Linked DNA regions of Arabidopsis thaliana. The protein of the gene in region 4 interacts with the protein of the main gene of each other region in a pairwise test. Each region holds a gene or a part of one and is shown on either strand. Other genes may lie near its edges. The genes, in order: WOX14, AGL92, AT2G35910 and AGL23.

The links.
Region 1: the proteins of AGL23 (region 4) and WOX14 interact in a two-hybrid assay, tested with the Arabidopsis thaliana proteins (one large-scale study listed by BioGRID).
Region 2: the proteins of AGL23 (region 4) and AGL92 interact in a two-hybrid assay, tested with the Arabidopsis thaliana proteins (one large-scale study listed by BioGRID).
Region 3: the proteins of AGL23 (region 4) and AT2G35910 interact in a two-hybrid assay, tested with the Arabidopsis thaliana proteins (one large-scale study listed by BioGRID).

Annotation. Positions count from the first base shown.
Region 1 is NC_003070.9:7,180,607-7,186,769, reverse strand, and holds WOX14 (WUSCHEL related homeobox 14), read right to left. Parts: upstream 4,213-6,163; coding exon 4,008-4,212; exon of another isoform or gene 3,441-4,007; coding exon of another isoform or gene 3,422-3,440; coding exon 3,035-3,421; coding exon of another isoform or gene 3,018-3,034; exon of another isoform or gene 2,948-3,017; coding exon 2,904-2,947; 3' UTR 2,714-2,903; downstream 1-2,713. Other genes in the region: AT1G20720 (RAD3-like DNA-binding helicase protein), read left to right, coding at 1-522, 630-701, 866-988, 1,068-1,112; WOX10 (WUSCHEL related homeobox 10), read right to left, coding at 1,503-1,543, 1,642-2,037, 2,129-2,285; HMGB3 (high mobility group B3), read right to left, coding at 5,577-5,613, 5,701-5,780, 6,010-6,096. UniProt on the Arabidopsis thaliana protein: Acts redundantly with WOX4 downstream of the TDR/PXY receptor kinase to regulate procambial cell proliferation and differentiation in vascular tissue, independently of any role in vascular. Involved in the regulation of gibberellin (GA) biosynthesis pathway.
Region 2 is NC_003070.9:11,320,793-11,326,566, forward strand, and holds AGL92 (AGAMOUS-like 92), read right to left. Parts: upstream 3,385-5,774; coding exon 2,127-3,384; intron 2,037-2,126; coding exon 1,900-2,036; downstream 1-1,899. Other genes in the region: ROPGEF14 (RHO guanyl-nucleotide exchange factor 14), read right to left, coding at 5,682-5,774. UniProt on the Arabidopsis thaliana protein: Putative transcription factor.
Region 3 is NC_003071.7:15,071,594-15,077,432, forward strand, and holds AT2G35910 (RING/U-box superfamily protein), read right to left. Parts: upstream 2,548-5,839; 5' UTR 2,286-2,547; coding exon 1,632-2,285; 3' UTR 1,294-1,631; downstream 1-1,293. Other genes in the region: AT2G35920 (RNA helicase family protein), read left to right, coding at 3,985-4,254, 4,365-4,510, 4,602-4,701, 4,779-4,997, 5,084-5,179, 5,326-5,601, 5,707-5,839.
Region 4 is NC_003070.9:24,277,814-24,283,392, reverse strand, and holds AGL23 (AGAMOUS-like 23), read right to left. Parts: upstream 2,057-5,579; coding exon 1,745-2,056; intron 1,611-1,744; coding exon 1,242-1,610; 3' UTR 1,160-1,241; downstream 1-1,159. Other genes in the region: AT1G65352 (Putative membrane lipoprotein), read right to left, coding at 5,095-5,282, 5,564-5,579. UniProt on the Arabidopsis thaliana protein: Probable transcription factor that controls female gametophyte (megagametogenesis) development and chloroplast biogenesis during embryo development.

The DNA.
Region 1 (6,163 bases), about 17 Mb from region 4:
ACCAGCTCTCCTGTCATTGACCTTGAAGTCGAAAACAGTGATGCTCCTAGGCCTAGTACTAGACCCTCGGATCATACGAGTTTAACAAGAAGAATTGAGTTTGGGTTTACCGAACCAAGATCCCAAAACTACAACATATATTCTTTTCCAGAAGTGAATCAGAAAGTGCAGCTATCTTGTTCGCTCTGCAGAAGTCCATTAGGTCTACCTGAGAATCACTCATATGTCAATTGCTTGTTGACTTCGTCATCGAAAAAGTATTTGCTGTCTCTTCTGAAAAAAACGTCAAGAACTGGAGCTGCAGAAATGTCAACAAGTGTTTCAATTATCATGACAGATTGCTCAATGGTTAATCAGAGACTCTGCAGAAAATTTGAAGGCTTAAAAGGTCAGGGTATTTGGTGCGAGCAAGATGGATGTGTTTTCAATACTATCTATTGCCCTTTCTGCAGCATCCCAAACACATGTCTCGGAGTGCAAGTCATGGCTACTGATTCATCAAATGTCCAGTTTTTGAGCAAAGTAAGCTGACTTAGTGGTGATTCCTTAGAGTGCTCAAGTCTCTCATTTGTGATTCGGTTTATTGTCTTGAGCGCTCGCTAATATCAAGATCTAATTTTACTTTGCAGATTTTGTTCTTTGCTGATCATCTAGAAGTCACCAATGAAGCTGCAAGCAAGGATTCAACGTTAAAGCACAAGGTATTCTTGCATACCCTTAAGTCTTTAGAAGCAATTTGAGGTTTCAGTTTGGAACAAATGGAGCTGCAAATTATTTTGAAATAGAAGCGAATTTGTTTTGACTCTTTCAGGACAAAGCTTGTGGTATCTGTGCAAAAATAATAATAACCTAATGGGTATTGTAGGAACCTCTTGCTGAGACTAATGCAGCTGTGGATAAGAGTGATGTGTTAAAGTCAATAGACAGATTTGCATACTCCCCAAATCAGCAGCAAGAATCAGGAGGCTGGAGGACTACAAAATCAAAGGTCTGTAAAGGCAATAATAACATGCATTCCGGTTTCTGTTTACACAGTTAGTCTGATCTACAATCTTAATTCTGTGCAGTTGAGACTACCTAAACGAAATTTGCCAACGAGCAAGAAGGCCTAGACAAAGGATGCATCAACAAGCTGAACCGGTCTGATTCATAACGAGGGATAAGTCAAGAAAGCCAAACCAGCACCAAGTTGCCTAAACCAATGTGAACCAAGGAACTTTGCTCATGGCCCAGCTTCGTTCAGAACTTAATTTATGTCCATGTAGTGGCAATCCCTTGTTAACTCGAGTAGTTCTTGAATAGTTAGTTACGTGTATATACACATATTCGTATAAGGTCAAGGTTTCTATACATGTTTTACCAGAAGTTTGTGAAAAACAAATTCTACAGTAAAAAAAAACTTGTTCAAGGTCTCCCTCACACAATCATATACGATGATATCAATTTATTGAGAAAACCAAATAAAAACAGAGAGGTTGGAGAGTTCATCATCTTTGTTTCACTCAGTCTATAAACTTGTCCCTATTCAACAAATGCTCAATCCCTGAAACCACAAAAAGTTCACCACATTTTTTCATCTCTGACTCAATTAAACCAAAATACGATGCATAGACACATAAATATCATATAGTAAGAGGTTACCTAAATCAGGACTCGGGAACAGTATATGCTCATAAGACTCAAACCCTCCAGAATCATCTCCACACCTCCCTCTCTCCTCAGTTGTTGTCACGGCCGCATCATCCGCCTGACTCGAGGTAATTGTCGTTGTCGGAGGTTGCTTTCGTTTGGACCGAGCTCGTCGGTTTTGAAACCAATGGTATACATTTTTCTCCATGATTTGTCCATGTTCAGACAGTTCCATCGTGATCTCTTTAATCCTCCGCGGATTTGGTGTTCCACTGCCTTCCTTGTAAATGTTCTCAAGAATCTGAAGTTGCGTTGTCGTAGGAGTCCATCGAGGCCGAGTCGACATTCCATGAGCGCTTGACGATGCCACCATTGGATCAAAATACTCACCTCTCATTGGATTCATTCCTATTGTATTTTCTCATAATCATTACCATACAAATTCAGTTACGTGACCCTTAAGTTTCTTCCAAATACAATTATGGAGTAGTGTACGTACCTGATGAAAGAAGAGGGACAGAAGAGAGAGAGTTGTGGAGGAAGACGAGCTGGTCGCAAAGAACGGCGTAAATGGCGATTTGCTTACGAAGAGTCTCCATTTGTTCATCCGTCATTACTCTACTACCATACCTACCGTTTAGGCTCTCTTGCTCCATCTCCTCTTTCACCACTTTGCCTTCTCCTCTCTCCTTTTTACCATATGAAGAAGACAATGTGGAAGTGAAGGTGTTATGTATTTTTCTTTTTGAGAAATCTTTAGTTATTTGTTACCGTTAACTTTAAACAATTTATGGAAAGATGTCAAACTAGGATCAATTGTCTGATTTTTTTTCTTTTTCAATTACTAGTTAATTGAGGTAATTTTGGGATTCAATTGGATAAATAATTGATATATATTCTAATTGTGTGGTCATGTAACCAATATCCGATTTTATATGATTTTTTGTGTGATAACAATAAATTTAAAAACAATGAAAAAAGCTATGGTCATGACTAGGATCGGTTATTATGGTCAATTGCTTCTACTCTTTAGTGTCATTTGAATTGAGATTTACCGGTCAAAATATCAACCGAGTTTAAGATGGCATCACTTTTCTTTCTGATGCTGAAAAAGATGTGGGCATATATATCAAGTTGAGGAACACAAAATTATAATAAAATTGAAGACTTGTTGTTAATGTCACACACAAACACACACAATTCTATTTTATGAAAACAGAGTAAAAGAAAACAGAATAGATTAGAGATCTTCTTCATCGAAGTCTATACGAATTTTAAGTCTCCATAAATTTCCCTATACTCAACAAATGCTCAATCCCTGAAACCACAAAAAAAAATGCAAACTCAAACCAAAAATAAAAAATAAACCTAACCAAATGTTTAAAAACTCAAATGATCTTTTTACCTAAGTCAGGACTTGGGAAGAGTATATGCTCATAAGACTCTAATCCCCCTGAATCTCCACAACTCCTCCTTTCCTCCGTTGTCACCGCCACATCGTCAGCCTGACCATTAGCTGTCGTCGTTTGAGGCTGCTTTCGTTTGGACCGAGCTCGCCGGTTTTGAAACCAATTGTAGACATTTGTCTCCGTGATCTGTCCATGTTCAGACAGCTCCGTCGCGATCTCTCTAATCCTCCGTCGATTCGGTGTTCCACTTCCTTCGTCGTAAATGCTCTCAAGTATCTGAAGCTGTGTTGAAGTCGGAGTCCACCGATGCCTAGTCGATATCCTATGAGAACTTGACGATGCCCCCATCGGATCAAAGTATCCGCCAACCATTGGCCTCACTCCTTTTTTACACTCAATCATTATAAAAAAATAAGTGACGTGACCCTTAAGTTTCTTCCATGTACAAAATATGTATTATCAAAACCACAAAGCACTAATAACTCAAGCTTCTTAAAAATCGGCCACGACATGATAACCCTCAAATCAGCTTACGTCTAGAGAAAATAAACATTAATAATATATTGAATTGTTCGATCTAAGCAAATCATAAACTATATTAACAAATATCTTTAGCAATGATAAATCGATATCTAAGCGGTAGGTAAACTGTCTTCGAATGTCTAAAACATTATGAAATTTGATTCAAAGTTATGCATCGAACACTGGGAAAAAAAAAGCCTTGGATTTCGTTAGTTGTATACCAAACGCAAACACAATTTTCACATTTTTACACTAAAGTCTCAATGGGTCAAGTGTATTAATGGAAACAACGTTTGCATCGCAAAAAACGCTGCGTTTAAACACTTTCGTCTTACACACTTCTTCTACCGTATACAAAGAAGCTCATCAAATGGTCTCTTGTAAAAAAATCAAATACATAGAAAAGTGATTGTTGTTAATCAGGAACAAAAACAGAGAGAAGTGTACCTGATGAGAGTGGATGGTAAGAAGAGAGGGAGTTGTGGAGGAGGACGAGTTGGTCACAAATAACGGCGTAAACGGCGATCTGCTTACGGAGAATCTCCATCTGCTCCTCAGTCATCACTCTCCCACTATACGCACCGTTTTGGATCTCTCTATCCATCTCCTCTATTTCTTTGCTTTTCTCCTTTTCCTTTTTTTTTTTTACCATATGAACAAGACAATGAGAAAGTGAATGATATATATATTCTTTTGTTTATGAATAAAGGGATCTTTAGTTTATTTGTTACCGTTAAATCAAACACTTTTTGGAAAGATGTCTTTGTTTAATGATCAATTGGACCAATTTAATTTTTACAGTTACCAGGTTTATTACATTGGTTACATATTGAAAACATTGGAGAACTATGGCCTTTCACTAGGATAGATTTTGGTCGACGGTATTCACAATTTTTTGTTAGAATTTCAACATTTTAATCGAGTTTTACGGGTCAAGATATCTACCATTTGAAATAGAAAAATGTGCTAATCCAAAATATGTATCTAAGAAGATCTTAATCCTATGTGTTGATGACATAATAAGACACCACACTAATATATAAAAACAACCTAATTAAAACCAGGTATTGTTGTTACATCCGTAGAGGAACACAAACTGTGTATCTTACTTTATGTATATAGTGGTTAGGTAAAGCCGGAAGCAAGGCTTAATCACAGCATTATATAAAATATTATCGTTGTGACTTATGACTAATGATTAAACTATTGATGGAAAAAGAAGAGCATGCTTTCTTTCTTTTTCTAAGTTGATTAAGAAGAAAATGTACGAATTTGACCAAAAAGGTTCTTTGATATAAAGATGTTGACTAAAAATTTATAACATAAGTGAGACTATTCTGCTGCTAATACGCAGATTTTCACTAAAATCTTCACTTTTGTCAAAAATGATCAAATTTTTTACTTATTTCTTAAATCAAACGAAGTAATACAATCCAAAGAGAAACTCTTAATTAAGCTGATGCAAACCATTTTTTTTTTTCAAAAGATGAAAAGAGAACCAAATGATCATGGCGTTGGTAATTTGGAAAATTCAAGTATAGCCTCAAAACAATTTTACCAACCTGTGTCTAAAGTCAAATAACTAAATAAAAAGTGAAAACATGGTTTACTCTTTGTGGAACACATTGATTAAGAGCGTGATTATGCAATAGGACTCACAACCCCAATATGATTTAAGTAAAAACATGGTTTACACTAATATTTTTTTCAGGGGTATAAATCCTCATATCAACTAGAAACAAAGAGTCTAAAGAGCATTAAAACGTAGAGGAATTAAAAACTAAATCATTCATTATATAGAGCTACAAATCTCTCATTTCACCATCTAAACATTCTACATTCACTTTTTCCATTACCCGTAGAATCAGTGGGAGATAGGTAATAGTTTACTAAAACGAAACATCAGTAAGAAAAAGAAAAAGAAAAAAAAAAAAAACCACTTTAACCACCCGAATTAACATTTTAAGAGAGGAGATAAAAACATCCGAGAGATTCCTTGCAGCCTTCTATATTACGCTACCACAACTTCAACTTCTTAATCATCGTCTTCCTCCTACATCACATGTATAACAGAGTTAATACAAAGCTTTACTGATTCATACTACAGATATTTAGATTGCAGAGGTGTAAAATAACTTACCTCTTCACTGCCATCCTCAGCATCATCCTCATCGTTAACCTCTGAAACTGACTTGTCAGATTCCTCATCTTCCTTAGGGCCTTCCTCCTGAAACCACAACACACCACCATTATTCAAGCACCCCCATTAACCAAATTACCAGTTGCTTGTATCATCATTGTTTAGAATAAACATAACTCAAACTTCAATATATAGTAAACAAATTAAGAAAGCCTTGAATAGTGTGACTACTGACTAGTATAAAGAGAGTAGACAACTCAATAACGTGGTTAATATAAACATAACATAGCCTTCTATATGCAAATAAACAATTACCAATTTCTTGTTGTAGGCTTTCATGTTCTTCTCATACTCAACCTTGCGCTTGTCAGCCTTAGCCACATAAGGAGCCTTCTCCTGCATTATTATAACACCCACAGGTTAATAAAACGCTTGAAACAATTGACTTAATACACACAACTTT
Region 2 (5,774 bases), about 13 Mb from region 4:
TGGTATGATTATAATGAGAGAGAATCCAAAAAAAATGGAGGTCTAACAATAACCAAAAAATAAGAAAAACAAGAATGCACATCGTTAATTAGACTTTGTTTGACTGGTTCTCTTCTTATCAATTACATTTACAAAATGTAGAAATTTCTCTAAAATAAATAGCATATTTATTGATTTTTGATTAAATGTTTTCAAATAGTTATAAAAATACTATAGAGTAGAAGATATTACATGAGAGAATGGTAAATAATTCAATCCAGTAGTAGTTTAATTTCCATTCTCTTTAAATGCTAAATTTTATTTCAAGCTCACCGTATATTTTTGGCTCAGATAATAAATAACTTTCATCTGCCATAAAACACTAATTTTCATGTTTATTTATATGTTTAGTTAGGGGCGACTTAAGCTACTTATAGTTATAGGTCATGTTCAAAAGTTTAACTATAGATATCTTAAATAAGGTCCATATATATACATAAGAACTTTTTTTGGTAATCACGATCCGTTTAATCTATGTATTTAATTTACACATACTAAAACAATTCAAGGTATAGTCGATCTTATCTGAACGTTGTAGTAAGCATAACTGGTCACCAAAAATATGTTCTTAGTTGAAGTACACACTTGAATCCAACCCAAAAAACCTCGTCAGTGTTGGGATGATACACGAAGTGAAGCCTATAGTTGAAATAGAACGCTAGGAAGCCATTTTTCTAAAAAAAAATCTTAATGAATACTTAGTAGGTGATAGGTACAGATAGAGATACATTAAGGCTTGTGTTAATTTCAAATTACCTTAGGCCCATAATATATGCATATCCTAAAATATACCTTATTTTCTTAATATCTCAGCTTTTTATTTAAAATTTTCAGAAGAGCCAAATCAATTTAACCATATTCAATCTTAATACAGTCTTTAAAACGGTTTTTAAAGGAGAAGCTTCAGGTGGCACGCATCGAACTAGGAAGACCCTCTAAATCAAGGAGAAGTATCAGAAGGCACTTTACTTAAACACCACAGTCTACTGCTTCTACTTGGAGTTGTATTCACTGAATTACCTGCCTTAGCAACTGCAAACAAAAAATAGAAAACCAGTCTCTGTCCCATCGGAGAGGCCTTACACGGGACCAAAGCAAAGGCCTTTGGGGTGCTCTTTAGGGTCACATGAGCTAAGGATGCTACTCGGTGGTGCAAGGGAGTTATAACTCTTTCAAGATTTCTCCCATTCTTGAAAGAATCCAGAAAGCAAGATTCGCAAGTGTTCGGGAATATGCTTCAAGAAGCCCATGCATGACCAATGTCCTGAAAACAAAGAAGAAGGATTTAATATCGACAAATAATTGTATTGTAAAGTATGACATGTTTCAGAACATAAACTAAGAAAGATGTAATTAGTTCTGTTTATGTTTACATTGCCATATTGGATCTTTGTGGCATTAAGAAACGAGTGAGGAAGATTAGAGTGTTTGGATTTGATCTGATTTCTAAGCGCTTCTTTTCGGTTCAAGAGTGATTCACTGCGACCAATTTCAACAATGGTTCTCCTCGTATATATACTCAATGGTACTTCTCCTCCTATATATACAACTTCCGTCCTGAACTCTCTTCAAAATATTTAATCATATAAGTATTTAACCATAATGAAGGCTTGAAAAGTATTGATGTTTTTTGGAAACAAAATCCTATCTGATTTTGGCAGATCTATTTAGTTATGCATTTTAAGAACAAAAAGCTCGTAAAAAATAATTTGTGACCAAACAGAAATGACTTCATTGAAATAGAACTGACTTAAAGGTAAAACCTTCAACTCTTACAACAACTAATTGAAAAGGAAAAGCATAATTAAATACTGGTCTTTTAAAACAAACAAAACACAAAATGCACACTACTGAAACACATCACACATTGTTGTTGTTGTTGTTGTTGGTGGTGGTGGTGGTGGTGGAAGGCATGTGACCGGTGGAAGTAAGACCAACGGTTGGTGGCTGGTGGTAGTTGTAGTAGTTTCCGTCCATGAAAGGGATGTGTGCATGCTCTCCAACATAACCCGCTTATTCATAAGGATATTCTGTCAACATATTCATGAATGGATCATTTTGAAACGGATACTGATTTGGATCCAAACTCATATTCTGGTTCAAATTCATATCATAGTTTCCTTGTTGAATCTGATGATTAAAATCAACAGGAGCTTGGTATTGAACCGGCTCCTGTTGATTTTGATTCAAATTCATATTCTCAAACTGAAAATGATCACTAAAACCAGTAGGGACATAGGGCTGAACCGGCTCATACTGATTCTGATTCATAGGAAGACCGGCACCTGCAACACCAAGAGCTTGGTAGTGAACCGGCTCTTGTTGATTTTGATACAAATTCATATGCTGATATTGAACATTATCACTAAAAACAGTAGGGATATAAGGCTGAACCGGCTCATACTGCAACTGACTCATAGGAAGACCGCCACCCGCGACAGCAAGACTCTGGTAGTGAACGGGCTCATACTGATTCTGAGTCATAGGAAGACCGGCACCCGCAACAGCAAGAGCCTGGTAATGAACCGGCTCTTGTTGGTTTTGATTGAAGTTCATATTCTGATATTGAATATGATCACTAAAACCAGTAGGGACATAGGGCTGAACCGGCTCATACTGATTCTGGTTCACATTCATGTTATGAAATCCAGTAGGAACATTAACCGCAGCTTGATCTGCAACAACAGGAAGATTGGCACCCGCAACAGCAAACAGAGGAGGAACAGTTACCGCAGCTTGATCAGCAACAACAGGAAGATTGGCACCCGCAACAGCAAACAAAGGAGGAACAGTTACCGCAGCTTGATCTGCAACAACAGGAGGATTGGCACCCGCAACATCAAACAGAGGAGGAACAGAAGAAGAAGACTCACCATATTCTGTAAGGAACTTCTTCCTGGCATTAAGCTGATTAAGATATTGATCAGTAAAAAGACTTAAATCTTGAAGGTCCCTTGCACCATACTGTTGCTCACTCATCTTGCCTCCAACGCAATCAAACATAAAATGCTTAAGCTGAGTTTCTCGGTTTTCACGACGTAGACTCTCTAGTTTGTTTTGTTCTTTGGTGATTTGGTCCCGCAAGAAAGTCTCATGACTCATCATCGTCTTGGACCGTTCTGTCGCCGGCTTCTCCATGAACTCCGAAATCACCTCTTGAACACCTTCGGTTGACGGCCACACCGTTGGATTCTCGAACGGACTGTAGATTACCGCACATGCTTTGATGTCACAGAGAGTTGTCAGCTCGTGGAGTTTCTTCCTTATCCCTGCATTCCTCTTCCTGAATGTGGCTCTCCGAAAGTGTCTATCAGGTATGAGTACTAACTTAGTCTTCGTCCTCATTATCTTTATTTTTCTTTTCTTTGGTGTTTGTGTTTGTTTAGTTTCTTGGCCCAAGACTGTTTATATAGCAACGAAAAGGGTGATTTTTTACTCAGGGTGTGGCTTATCACGTTTCTGGACTCATTAATTTGTAGTTACAGCATTAAATCTTTTGGCTACTGTCTTATTAATTGATTAGGCCACTAATTAAAGCTATGACTAAGATTGGATTCTCTTTTCTCTTTACTAAATATAGTTTATCTTCGTATATTACTCACTTTTCTTTTAAGAGTAATATTAAGCTTTGATAAACTGTGAAAATTTCTAATATTTTAAGTGTTTTTCTTTTCTTTTCGAATAGAGTTTTACAGCTTAATTTCCATGTAAAATCATGAATATATAAAAGCTTAGGAACTTTGTTTATCTATAGTAAAATTATTTCGGGAAAGAATTAACGTGTCTTACGAAATATTTAGAACGAGCGAAAATTTTGAAATATGTAGACATTAAAGGAAGCCTACATAGAAAAAAGTTTGTAAACCAATATAATAAAATAATAAATATCATTAAAATTTCTATCATGTTTTAATATATAAAAAATGCTCTTTTATATGTATAAAAATTTATCTTTACAATAATAAAATATAAAAAATAATAATAAAGTAATAAAGAAATTTTTCCTTATAAAATATTAAAATCACAGATTTAGTTATATGAATTAAATTTTTAATAAAATATTTTTAAAAAATCTGCCATGGCCAGAAGGTCCATCTAATTTTGTTTAGTCAATAAGTTGATTTTAATTAAAAGGAAATAAGGGTAAAACTGTCTTTATACATTAATATAATAATATATATGGATTTTTTCCATCTTTTGACTTATACACTAATATGACTATTTATGACATTAAAACGTATCAATTAATGTACACGTGTAAAATCATGATTGGATATAAAAGAAAATCAGTTATTTTAGAGATAAATTATGAATTCATGCATATATTATACCTTTTGGAGCATATATTTTTCTTAATTTGGTTAAAATATTCATTGTACTGCCAGCTAATTATGAGCTGTAAATATTTGAAACTAGAAATTTGACAAGAGGTTTAGAGCACTTCCAATGGTTTTCACATATCCCAAAAAAGTATCCCAACTTTTAAAGTCTTAATATTTTTAATAATTTTAATTTAAAAATAAAAATGAACAATTAAAAAGAGACAATTGTAAAGTTCTAGTTAGTATACCCAAAGTTCTTATTTGAGAAATTTTCTCTTCTTTCTATCTTAAATTTTTTTTTAGTTATGATTATAATGGGGGAGTATCTTATTAAGACCCTCCAATAATTTTCATTTTTATTTATATGTCTAGTTAGGATGTTTGAACTATATATATAGGTCATGTTCAAAAGTTTAGTTAAAGATTTTTTAAATATGGTAAAATAATCTTTTGAAAAGTTATAGGTCCTTATTGAGTTATATGTATATGAAATTTTTTACAAGAACAGTTTTTTGGTAATCAAGATCCATTTGATCTCTATACTTGCTATATTGAAAACAATTATGGTCTGTTCGATTTTCTTTGAGTTAGTAAGCATAATTGGCCTTTAACAATATTTTGTGTTAGTATCGGATGGCACAGTTGAACTTAAATCCAACCCAAAAAACCTCATTAGTGTCGGGATGATAGACGAAGTGAAGCTTGCCATTTTGTTATACTTATTAGGTAGTATGTACAAACGGAAACTCATTAAGGCTTTGTGCTAATTTCAAATTATCCTTAAGCCCATAATATGTACATATCCAACCAAGATAGATCCCTTCTAAATGAAGACTTCTTATACTCCAATCTTGCTAGTGACTTAATGGAAGTGTGCAAAAGATAGTGGCTTGGTGAAAATACCTGTTAGTTGATCATTTGTCGAGATGACAGCTAATGCTTCATTCAAAGATGGAAGTCGGGATAGTAACCTAATTGAGATTCAAATTAGATTTCAAGAAAGTAGTAATTAAAATGATTCTAGTCTAGTATATTATAAATAGATTATGGTTTTGGACATTTTTGTTTTGAATATACCTTATTTTGTAAAGTATTTTCTGGAAGAGACTAATAAATTTAATCATAATCAATCGTATCAATTTTTTTTCCCGGATTAAAAATTTGCTTTTCACCGTGAAGTTATGAACAAAATTGTATGAATTCGTACTTTAACTGCAATATGTTAATACATTTACAACATCTCAGGCTTCATAATTTAAAACCTTCAAAGTAAAGGAGAAGCTTCAGGTGGCACGCATCGAACTAGGAAGACCCTCTAAATCAAGGAGAAGTATCAGAAGGCACTTTACTCAAACACCACAGTCTACTGCTTCTACTTGGAGTTGTATTCACTGAATTACTTGCCTTAGCATC
Region 3 (5,839 bases), on a different chromosome or scaffold from region 4:
AGAAAAACTCGAAGCGTCCGATTTGTTTTTTTATACTCAGGCCTCTTTGTTCGTGAAACCGACTTACCGGCGCGTGAGGATTTTCTTTTTCTTCACGGGTCGGAAAAAAGTTTGAACCAAATCAAACCAAACTAAAGTAGTCAAATTTCTCAATCTGAACCGGAAGACCGCTGGTTAATAGATTTTTAACGTATGATGCGTCTCAAATTGTTTGATTTATTGTATTCGCGTTTAAGATCCACTCATTTTATTACCTTGTATCTTATTCTTTTTTTTCATAGATACTTTCTTAGTAGATCAGAGTTGTAACTAAAATTTTGAGAAATACTTAGACATTCACCATTACATAATAAAAATGTTTAGAATGTATCAAATATTTAGAATTTATTCAGTATTTAATTTTCTTATTAAGGAAAATAGATTATATAAAAAGTAATAAAAGTTGAAGTTAAAAGATGGGAAAGAAAGATTTTTTGGGTAAATTTTTTGACATTGCTGTGAACAATTGGGTCTTAGTCAATTTCTCAGGGCCCAATATGAAAGTATTCATCATTAATTCTGGCAGATGGGCCAAAATATTAAGAAGCCTAGCACAATAAGTCTTAAATCAGCATCATTGCTTCAAGTTGAAGCCTTCGACGTTACCGATGATGGTTTGAACGACCTCGGTTTGTCTTGTTATGAAAGGAATACAGAGCCGAGAGAAAGAGCATATCACTTTTGAGTGTTTGTAAAAATGAATTTGAGCATATCTTTGGTTATTTCTGGTTATTGAGTCTGTTGACTATAAACGATTGTAACAAACTCTTTGAATCATTAATGAGAAATTGAGCTTTTCACCATGTTTTCTCTCTCGATCATGGTTCCTAATATTTGGAGTAATATTTTTGTTTACCGAATACTTTAAATAAGATAAGAGTAGTTTTATCATGGTCAACTCATTTTTATCATCTCACCTACTTAATTTCAGCCAGCTTGAGATTGGAGACAAAAACAATCGTTTTCAAGTGTTTTTTTTCTTCTTGATTTATATCTCTTAATCAACGTTTTATATCTTTTCTTAAGGTCCTCATAAAAGTCTTTTTCTCATATCATCATATGTATTGGCTAACGGTTTACCCAATAAGACAAATACGCTGTTAAATATCTGGTTTTGTTTAACAAAAAAAAAATTGCTAATAAATAAACCATATGATTGAGAAAGATTGTCAGACTGACTATCAAAAACGCCTAATTGATTCGATCCCATTATCTTAAGTTCCAACTTGTCCTCAAACTCTTTTTTTTTTCTTTGACGTCTCAATATTTAAAATGATCTCTCAAAGTTCAATACAAGCCAAGAAACATATTTGCCAATATTCAAAACGACTTTAATTACTCTTTCTTGGTACGTATGTATAGATAAACTCGTTCACATTGCTTAAAGAAAAACTAATCCAACAAAATTGTGAAAAATTCATCCTTAACCTCCTTTCTCTTACAAATCTTCGGCTTCGAAGAGTGTATATACAGTGATCAGTTAGTGACCAAAAATAACAAATTTACAAGGAATTAAAAGAAGAATTAATAACGAGTTTAAGCCGGAGATTAGTCAAGATTTCGATTTCTTCGGTTATAAAATAAACAAATCACTAGGACATTCTTGTGGCGGCCACGGAGGAGGCTAAAGGGACAACCTCGGCGAGGGGAGTAGACAGAGGAGTTGGAAGCGGCGAAGTCCGACACACAGGACACGTAGGATTGAGTCTAAGCCACGTGTCGATACATTTAAGGTGGAAGAGATGGTTGCAATCTGGTAGCTGCCGCAGCAGATGTTTTCCCTTGTAGTCTCCTAAACAAATGGCACAACACGACGCCGTTGTTGGTCCCTTTGCTTCCGAGTAGAGAATCTTTGGATAGCTTTGAATGGTGTCCTCGTCAAGACCGGGGACAACGTCGATGATGACATGGTGGTGATGGTGATGGATACGTGTTGAATCTTGGTTGGTTTGTGAAGGTGAAGAAGAGAGCTGGTTACGTGTGCAATAGTATGAGGTGAGGGTGATGGTGGTGATGAGGAGGAGGACCCCGATGGAGACACCGATTCCGTATCGAAATCCTCCTATGTCGTCCGTGCCGAGGAGGCCGTTGTAGTCCGGCATCTCGGACGGTGGCGGTGGTTGGAAATTGTTCATGGCGGGTTTGGTTTGATGGTTTTGTTTAATGGGTTTGGGAGGAGGAAGAGGAGAAATAATGGAGAGGTTTTTGGTCAGCGATTTGATATAAGACAATGTAAATTGAAGCATCTTGGGGTTATCAAAAGTCAACGCTAAGAGAGAGAGAGAGACAAAGGGAGGAAATGCATGTGAATGAGGATAAGAAAGCTTGTCAAAGCAAAGCAAGAATTGTGTGACTTGTGGATGGTTAAAAAAATATTCAATGTATAAATTTTCTAATATTGTATTGGTAATACTGTAATAGTATAACGCATATATAAATATATTGACCCATTAATTCGTTGTTTATTTCAAACATAAAACACTTAGTTGCACAATTGAATTGGATACAGGGCTAATGAATTTAACGTGTGACATGTATTAAGATTTGATTTAGGAATGTAGGGAGGGGCCAGTGGCTAAGATTAGAGAAGGTTTACGCTGAATTAGTTTGAAGTCAACGTTGTACTTATATACTAATCTTGTTGTTTATGTACGTTTAGTTATCTCCTTTATTCAGGCTTATTTAAGTCCAATCATGTCACCTAAGCAACGTTTAGTTTCCTTCACTTGCTTTTAAAGTCGCAGTGTTATCTTATTTTAGTATTAGAATATTTAAAACTTTGAAATCTCTCCATATTAGAAGATTAATATAAAGTTTTGTTTTTCTCCTAAAAGTGGCAAGACAATAAAATAAAATATAATTGTAGGTAAATAATTTGTATATACTAGGAAATCCAAATTTAACCAATTGAGTCGTGGGCATTAACATTTGTATTACATAAAATTATATTTTGGCAAACTACCATAGGATAAAAATCATTCACTTAACGGCCAAGTTACTAACACAAGGCATCTTTGATAATGGAAAACAATCTGTTGGACAGTTGTTATTAATGAAGAAAATGCGTCATTGCATGCTCGCATGATGTATATTTTAATATACACTAGCTATGATAGTATATAAACAGATATACATGTAATTAAGAATGGAGATAAATGAACGTATATTATCCAGGGGCGGATTCATTTGGTGAAGAATGAATGTATTCAGTGAATTTTAATTGATATTCGAATACACCATTGTTATTGAACACTTAATTATTGCCGCCGCTCTTCCAATTTTTCAATTCTTTTTTTCCCCAATCAGTAGAGTAACTATGGGCTTTTAAAACCCATAGCTCCGGATTCCCAATCATATATTCTATAGTCTATGTCATCTAAAACAATATGAATTTAGATAAACAATTTATGACCTTCAAGCCATATATTTGGGCCGGATACTCAAAACATATGAAATTACACTCAAACACTAATTGAGCTACTTAGGCCAAATATATAAAGGAAACACTTACTACTAGGCATAAAAAGTTTGGAAGAAATAATAAGAGAGAAAAAAATGTTATAATCCTGACATTGTTTTTTTATTGTTAACTCACTCTTGGAATAAGTTGTCCAAGTCTCATAGTTGACTCAGTTTGGTGGTGTCACAAATTAGTTCCATCATTACTAATTTGCTATCAGTTTGGTGATGTATCAAATACTGTTGATCTAGTAATTTCACAAAAAGCGCATATCTTCCGGCTAATGATATTAGATTTACTCATATGTGTAATGTGTATGTATGGTTGAAAGTTGAAGCTAAATTAGGTTTAAGTCACTCATATCATATGTGTGTGTTATCTTGTATAGTGTAATACAAAATTCAATACAAAATTTTCCAATAAGCAAAAATAGTCGTCAGTGCGAGTTCAACTTTAAACTGTTTCAAACTTTATATTCATTACGAATGCAACAGTCCCTCTCTTGTTTCTCCACGCTTCGCTTTCTCCTTCCATTTTCTTCCAAACTCTCTCCGCTTCGTCCTCTCTTTCACACCGCCGCTATGCCTCCTCACGGTCCTAATTCTCAAGGTGGTCGTCGAGGCGGAGGTCATTCCTCCGGTCGTCGTGGTGGACGCGGCGGCGGCGGTCGTGGCGGTGGTGGTGGCGGCCGGGGGGAACAGCGATGGTGGGATCCTGTGTGGAGAGCTGAGCGTTTGCGCCAGCAACAAGCTGAGGTAATTGATACATTGTTCTTGTAGATTCTGAGTTCATTACTTCAATTTAACGATTAGACATTGATACATAATTTCGAATCAGATGATGAAGTAGTCATAATTTATCTCAGATGGAAGTACTTGATGAGAATGAATGGTGGAACAAGATTGAGCAATGGAAAACAGGAGGAGAACAAGAGATGCTAATTAAGCGTAATTTTAGCCGTGGAGATCAGCAAACACTTTCTGATATGGCTTTGCAGATGGGTCTTTACTTGTAAGTCTCTATATCTTCTTCGACAACTTCGTTTTAAGTCCATATGGTGAGAGTATGTCATGAATTTGCTTATCGTTTTTTGGAATGGAAGTCATGCGTACAATAAAGGGAAGGCTCTTGTTGTTAGCAAAGTTCCTTTACCAGATTATCGAGCGGATCTTGATGAACGGCATGGATCCACTCAGAAAGAGGTAATAGAGATGTTGCTAGTACGAAAGTTTTGTACTCAGTGGTGGCTGCTGAAACGCTTATACTCTTTTTCTTGTAGATTAAAATGTCCACAGAGACTGAGAGAAAACTTGGAAGTCTTTTGAAAACAACACAAGAATCAGGGTCCTCTGGTGCCTCTGCTTCAGCTTTTAACGATCAACAGGATCGTACTTCAACTCTTGGCTTGAAAAGACCTGATTCTGCTTCCAAATTGCCGGATTCTCTTGAGAAAGAAAAATTCAGTTTTGCACTCAAGGAAAGGCAGGAAAAGCTTAAGGTACATGTATTGCTAAAGTAAACCGTATGCATTATGGTAGATGTAGATTCTGGACATAACATCAATTTATAACCGTTTCAACACAGGCAACTGAGAGTGTAAAAGCACTTAAAGCGTTCAGAGAAAAGCTACCTGCTTTTAAAATGAAAGAGGAGTTTCTTAACTCTGTTTCACAAAACCAGGTAATTGTTTGGTATGTTTTTCTTCTCTGTATTCCATCAGCTATTATTTCTGCCTCTCTCCAATAATATTGTCAAGCTATTTTTTTTAGTTGTCTTGTGTTGTGTTGATCTTGCGCTTATAGTTGTGTCCGTTGTTTATTTTTCAGGTATTGGTAGTTTCAGGAGAGACCGGGTGTGGTAAAACAACACAGCTTCCTCAATTTATATTGGAAGAAGAAATATCATCCCTAAGAGGTGCTGATTGCAACATAATTTGCACTCAACCTCGACGTATATCGGCCATATCTGTTGCTTCTCGTATATCTGCTGAAAGAGGTGAATCCATTGGTGAATCTGTGGGTTATCAGATTCGTCTAGAATCAAAGCGTTCTGATCAAACACGATTGCTATTTTGCACTACTGGTGTTTTACTCCGGCGGCTGGTAAGATACAACTATTCTACTACTCAACTACTCATCACATGTAGTTGAAGTATGATATTTTAAGCTTCTTTACTTTGAAATGTCGAATCAATTGTTGAAATGCAGATTGAGGATCCTAATCTAACTAACGTAAGCCATTTGCTCGTGGATGAGATTCACGAAAGAGGCATGAATGAAGATTTTCTACTAATCATACTACGCGATCTCCTTCCTCGACGCCCAGATTTGCGTCTTATTC
Region 4 (5,579 bases):
TTAATATTACCATCTACACAAGCAATAAAAGAAGTTAATATTCAACACACCAAAATAAAATAAAATAGAAGTTATTCATTTTTTAGTATTTATATTTCCAAGATATATCTAATCATTTTGTTTTTGCCGGTTTGCAGGGTTAGGCTTGTTAATCTTCATTGGTGGAGTATATTGGTTATAAAATTTAGTAGAAAACAAATGAGGCTAAACCAAAAGAGAAAGTTCTTCAAACGTACTGGGGGTTTATTGTTGCAACAACAATTGACTTCAACAGAAGGCAATGTCGAGAAGACAAGAGTGTTCAGCTCGAGTGAGTTAGAGAAAGCCACTGAAAACTTCAGCCTAAATAGAATACTTGGTCAGGGTGGTCAAGGTACTGTGTACAAGGGAATGCTTGTCGATGCTAGAATTGTAGCAGTAAAGAAACCCAAAGTTGTGGACGCAGACAAGCTAGAAGAGTTCATCAATGAGGTTGTAATTCTTTCGCAGATTAACCATAGAATCGTGAAAATCTTAGGTTGTTTCCGTAATGAGACAAATGTCCTTCTTCTCGTCTACGAGTTTATTCCCAATGGCAACCTTTTCGAGCATCTTCACGATAAGCTGATGATTTCACGATGATTACTTGGGATGTACGTCTCCGCATAGCAGTGGATATTGCATGAGCTCTTTCATACTTGCTCTCGGCTGAATCATCTCCAATCTATCACAGAGACGTCAAGTCTACAAACATCATGTTAGATGAGAAATATCGAGCCAAAGTTTCGCGATGGGATATATGGATCCTGAGTACTTTCAGTCTAGCCAATTCACAGCAAAGAGTGATGTCTATAGCTTTGTGGTTGTGCTGGCTGAGTTAATATAGCATATCAAAGTTGTAAATTACTAGACTTATATAGATCTTTGGGAAATTACTAGAATATTAACTATGCCTCAAAAATATATAGTTCCATATACACAATAAACATATAAGATCACAGTAATGAAAATATTATAAAACTTCATATAGCTTTATTCATGTTCCACCAAAAAACATCGAAAGCTACAAGACACAAAGAACAACGAAAAGAAACAACAAGCCAATTGACTCAAGACTTAATTAAAAGACATACGACACCAACAATTAAAAAAAAAAAAAAAAAAAAAAAAAAAAAGACACAACAAACTATTGGAGACTTAAAAAGTCAACAACGAGAGAGATGAACTTATAGTACCAAGACCCATAATGAGGATAGACTTATTTAAACTCCTGGTGTGCGATTCATAATATCAAATCCAAACAGAAGTGTTTGAGTAGGATTAGTCGTCATTCCGTTTTGATCAAAGAACCCCTGGTTTGTGGAGATATTACCACCACTAACAGTTGCTGGAGCAGCAGCATTGCTAGAACTTCCAACATAGAAGTTTGGGTTTGTTTGATGGATTAATTGAATTGCTTTTTCATCAACTATCTTCTTCAAATCTTTAAGAACACGTATCATACAGGTTGATTGACTTAAGTTGAGTTCTAATGGAGACTTACTCCACCACTCCTCAGCGTTTTCGTTTTCTCTTTCATTTTGAGCCCGCGACTGCTTATTCTTTTGTTCTTTTTCTACTTCCGCCTTCACCTACGAATAAATCCACGAATAATGAATTTGTTAAGAATATCCATGAATTGTGAAACATTTATATAATATTCAATATCAAAATCGAAAAATAAGAGAGAAACAAATATTAGATATTGCCAACAATTGACATTTACCTCAGTGTAGGATTTGTTGAGCATTTGAACATGAAGCTTTGTGTAGCTTTCATCAAGGTTTGTGTTGTTGTGTCCTACAACACACCCTCGAAAGTGGTCAAGCAGAACATCAACATTTGGATGACCAAAAGAAAATACTTTTCCAGCTGGTGAAAACACGATCATCGCAATTTTTGCATCACATAATGTGCAAAATTCACTAGCCTTCTTAAAAAGACCAGCTTTTCTCTTGGAAAATGTGACTTGAAGGTTTGATTCCTTAGTCATTTTCACTATCTCTACCTTTCTACGACCAAGAGTTTTTTTCACCATTTTTTAGATGTTTTGAAGAAAGAAAAATTGAATTGATTGTATTAAAGATAATATGTCTTTGTATTTATAGAAAAAAACATACAAAATTTGTTTAGAGTTTTAAATGTAAATATAATTTCCTATTTTATATATTAGAAATAAATTATAAATTACCATTTAAGGCTTAGATACAGATTTACAGATTTTGTCAATAAAAGGTATATAATTATTACAGTTTTATCTATAACATTATCATTTAGCTATTATATTTGTTACAGCCTGTCAAGTTATTAAAAATTTTGGGGATATCTTTCCTATTACAAACCTATCAAATATAGGTACCAATGATTGGTTAAAGGATTTTTTCCATTATTTTCTATAGTCAATATCCTTTTTAACCTTTTTTATTAATCAAACTAATCTTATAAAATAAAATAAATAATTATTAAGTGTTTAAGATTTATATAAAATTCATAATGCATTAATGAAATATTATGTCCAACTTCCTTTTATTATATAGAAAATTGAAAAATATAAATTTAAGTTTGATCGCCGACTTTCAAAGTTCTTATTGCATATTAAGTAATAGTTGTTTGATATTTTAACTGTGATCGCCGACTCTTCAAGTTTTTATTGTGAGATAAACATATATATATATATATATATATTTCACACATCTCTAAGATTGATTCCCCTTTCTAAGTTTTTATTTTTGGATGTTACAAAGAATCCAACTAAATTAGTTCCTTAATACTTTATGTCATCGCCGCCTTTTCAAGTATTTTGTATAAGATTAAAATTATCTAAATAAAAACAATTGTATAATAATTCATTATTAAAATTATTTTCAACTTTTTGTTGTAGTATTAAAAATATCTAAATTAAAAAAGTTGTCCAATAATTTATTTTTAATCGCCTGCTTTTGAATTTTTAGACTGCCGACTTTTGATGTAAAAATAATTAAATTATGTTTTATCTCCGAATTTTCAAATTTTTATTGTCATATTAAAAATATCTAAATAAATAAATGTATAACTCTCTTTTTAGATAAGGTTAAAAACTAGTTTATGTTATCTTTAAATATATTAATCCAATTTAAACATGACACATGACGACATCTTATGTTTTACTTTACAATCACATAAGGTAACAAATTTGAATGCCAAACATTATAACAATAATAAATTACCATTGTAGGAGTAAATTATATATTTTGACAATAAAAGTATATAATTGATTATACTAGAAATCGACTCACTCTAATACTATGCCATAGTATTTTAATTATTTTAAATGTTTATTTTATTTGGAGTTTTATAATTAAAATATATAAATAAATAAATAAAACTTGGATAATATTCTTAAATATTTTGTTATTGAAATTTCTTTACAACAATGTAAATTTTAACTATAATAAGTGGTGGCAATGTTAAATGTTAAGTGACAAAATTTGGAAAATAAGTTAGATATTTTATATTATTATAATGATTTCAAGAACTCATAAACATTTTGATGAATTGCAAGATTTGCTTGCTAAAGTAAACGCCAGAAAACATTGGGCAGATACCTATTTTTCTTTGATTGTATTGGTGGTGCATGTAAAATTGCTTTGTAAAGAACAAATCTCATATTTGTACTCGTTCCTATCTATGTATATCGGATATCAACGTTAAATTTTGCACTTTATCTTTTGCCTAAGTAGATGACTTTTCTCAAGAGTAGCCGAATTTCCTGTATAGTATCTGCATTTTCTTAAAGTGATTTCCTTACTTACAGCTAGAGACTACATTACCTTTATTTCTCCAGAAATTGCATTAACAAATTCTTGCCACCATGGGAATAGGTTATAAAAAGTAGTTTAGCAACAAAAGCCGTATACAATAGTGATATTGTGCCCTTCAAAGAAAATAAAAAAGAGAGTGGAGATAAGAACGACTTAAACAAAACGAAAAAAGGCTTTGGATATAAAGCATATATACACCAGTTTGTTAGTCAATTCACTTTCTCTTTATCCGTTTGTTTAGTTTGAGTATTGAAATATCAGTGACGTTACTAATGTTTCATTTAGAATGATCGCATAGACATAACAGAAGATCACATTTTGAAAATGAAAGTTACCTTTTAAGCTCACTCATGGTGAAGTGAAGGCAATGGAGATCAAGGTCTTTCTACAGTCTTGCAACTCCCCCAAACTGAGAAACCATCTTGAGTATAATTAACTTTTACCGAAATAATGATAGTGAATATGCATGGTTTAACTTAGGGACCTCAATATAAAGTGTAACTAATATCTATCTGATAATGAAAACTAAACTCTAAACACATACATGGAATTATCAAGCATGTTAAGCTACTATACACATCCGATAAATAACCAAGTGTGTAAAAACCACAGAGCAGCAATTGTCTCTGACCCCATAGAAACCAAAAATATATCTACATTACAGAGAGTTATACATTCAGATATCGTCATATATATTGTAATGTATTGGCTTTATTAACCGAGGAATATAGTCAATCATCTTTGAAACAGAACATTAAAATTGAAAATATCAAATCACACAATAATAAAAATCTACATAATTCATATATTAATCCCGGTCTTTCAAGCTGGCTTCTTCAATTGTGGTTTTAAAACCTTCCTCCGATCAAAACCTTCCTTCTTAATTCAGTTGTGGTTATGCTTATCTTTTTCTTAATTTGTGCAAATGCTTATTTTCTATTTTTCTTAAATAAGTACATCCGTTATAAAAGAGATTAAGAAACTCCAGTAATTTACAATTTGAAGAAAATGAAACTTATGGAATTTATGTCAAAAGGGGGAAAATGCGTTAAAATATTGTATTAGATTTTCAACAGTTGCAACTTGCAAGGGTTTTTATACGAGGACTACTTTAAGATATACTGCATTTTATAAGATGTATGTAGTTCCACTTGTTGATGTTTGTAAAAGTGACCTAGAGTATGAGAAAAAAAAAACACTAGTATAAAATAAAAGTAAAAATGTTTATTATTATCATCTTGTCATCACAAATCTGGATAGTTTATTACAAGCAAGATTACATATGAGATTCAATACGTAAACTTGATCGTGGAGTGTTACAACGAGTACAAACACATTGCCTGAAAATACATTGTGTGATACGGCAACCCGGACATGTATCGTGACAGGTATTGTCGTTGTTGCAAGACCCTCCACGTTGTATTGTTACATCTCCACTCATTCTTGCTTCTCCCTCCAATAAACCTATATATAACATAGTTTGAATCATTACGAATATTATGCACTTAGGTTCCATATTCGTTTCTTATTACGAATATATATGATCATCTTGATTTGAATTGATTTGCCTTCTTTTTTTTCTTACAAAAGAATTATTTTGTTTCTTTGGCTTTGTTGTTAAAAAAGATAAACTATATGTAAGAAAAACGGTTAACTTGCATGTGGACAATAAAGATTATCATGAAAAATAAAGAACACTATGATAATGCGCTGAAGTTAAATTTAGAGTTGAAAGATGGACTCACATGAAAGGGACAATAA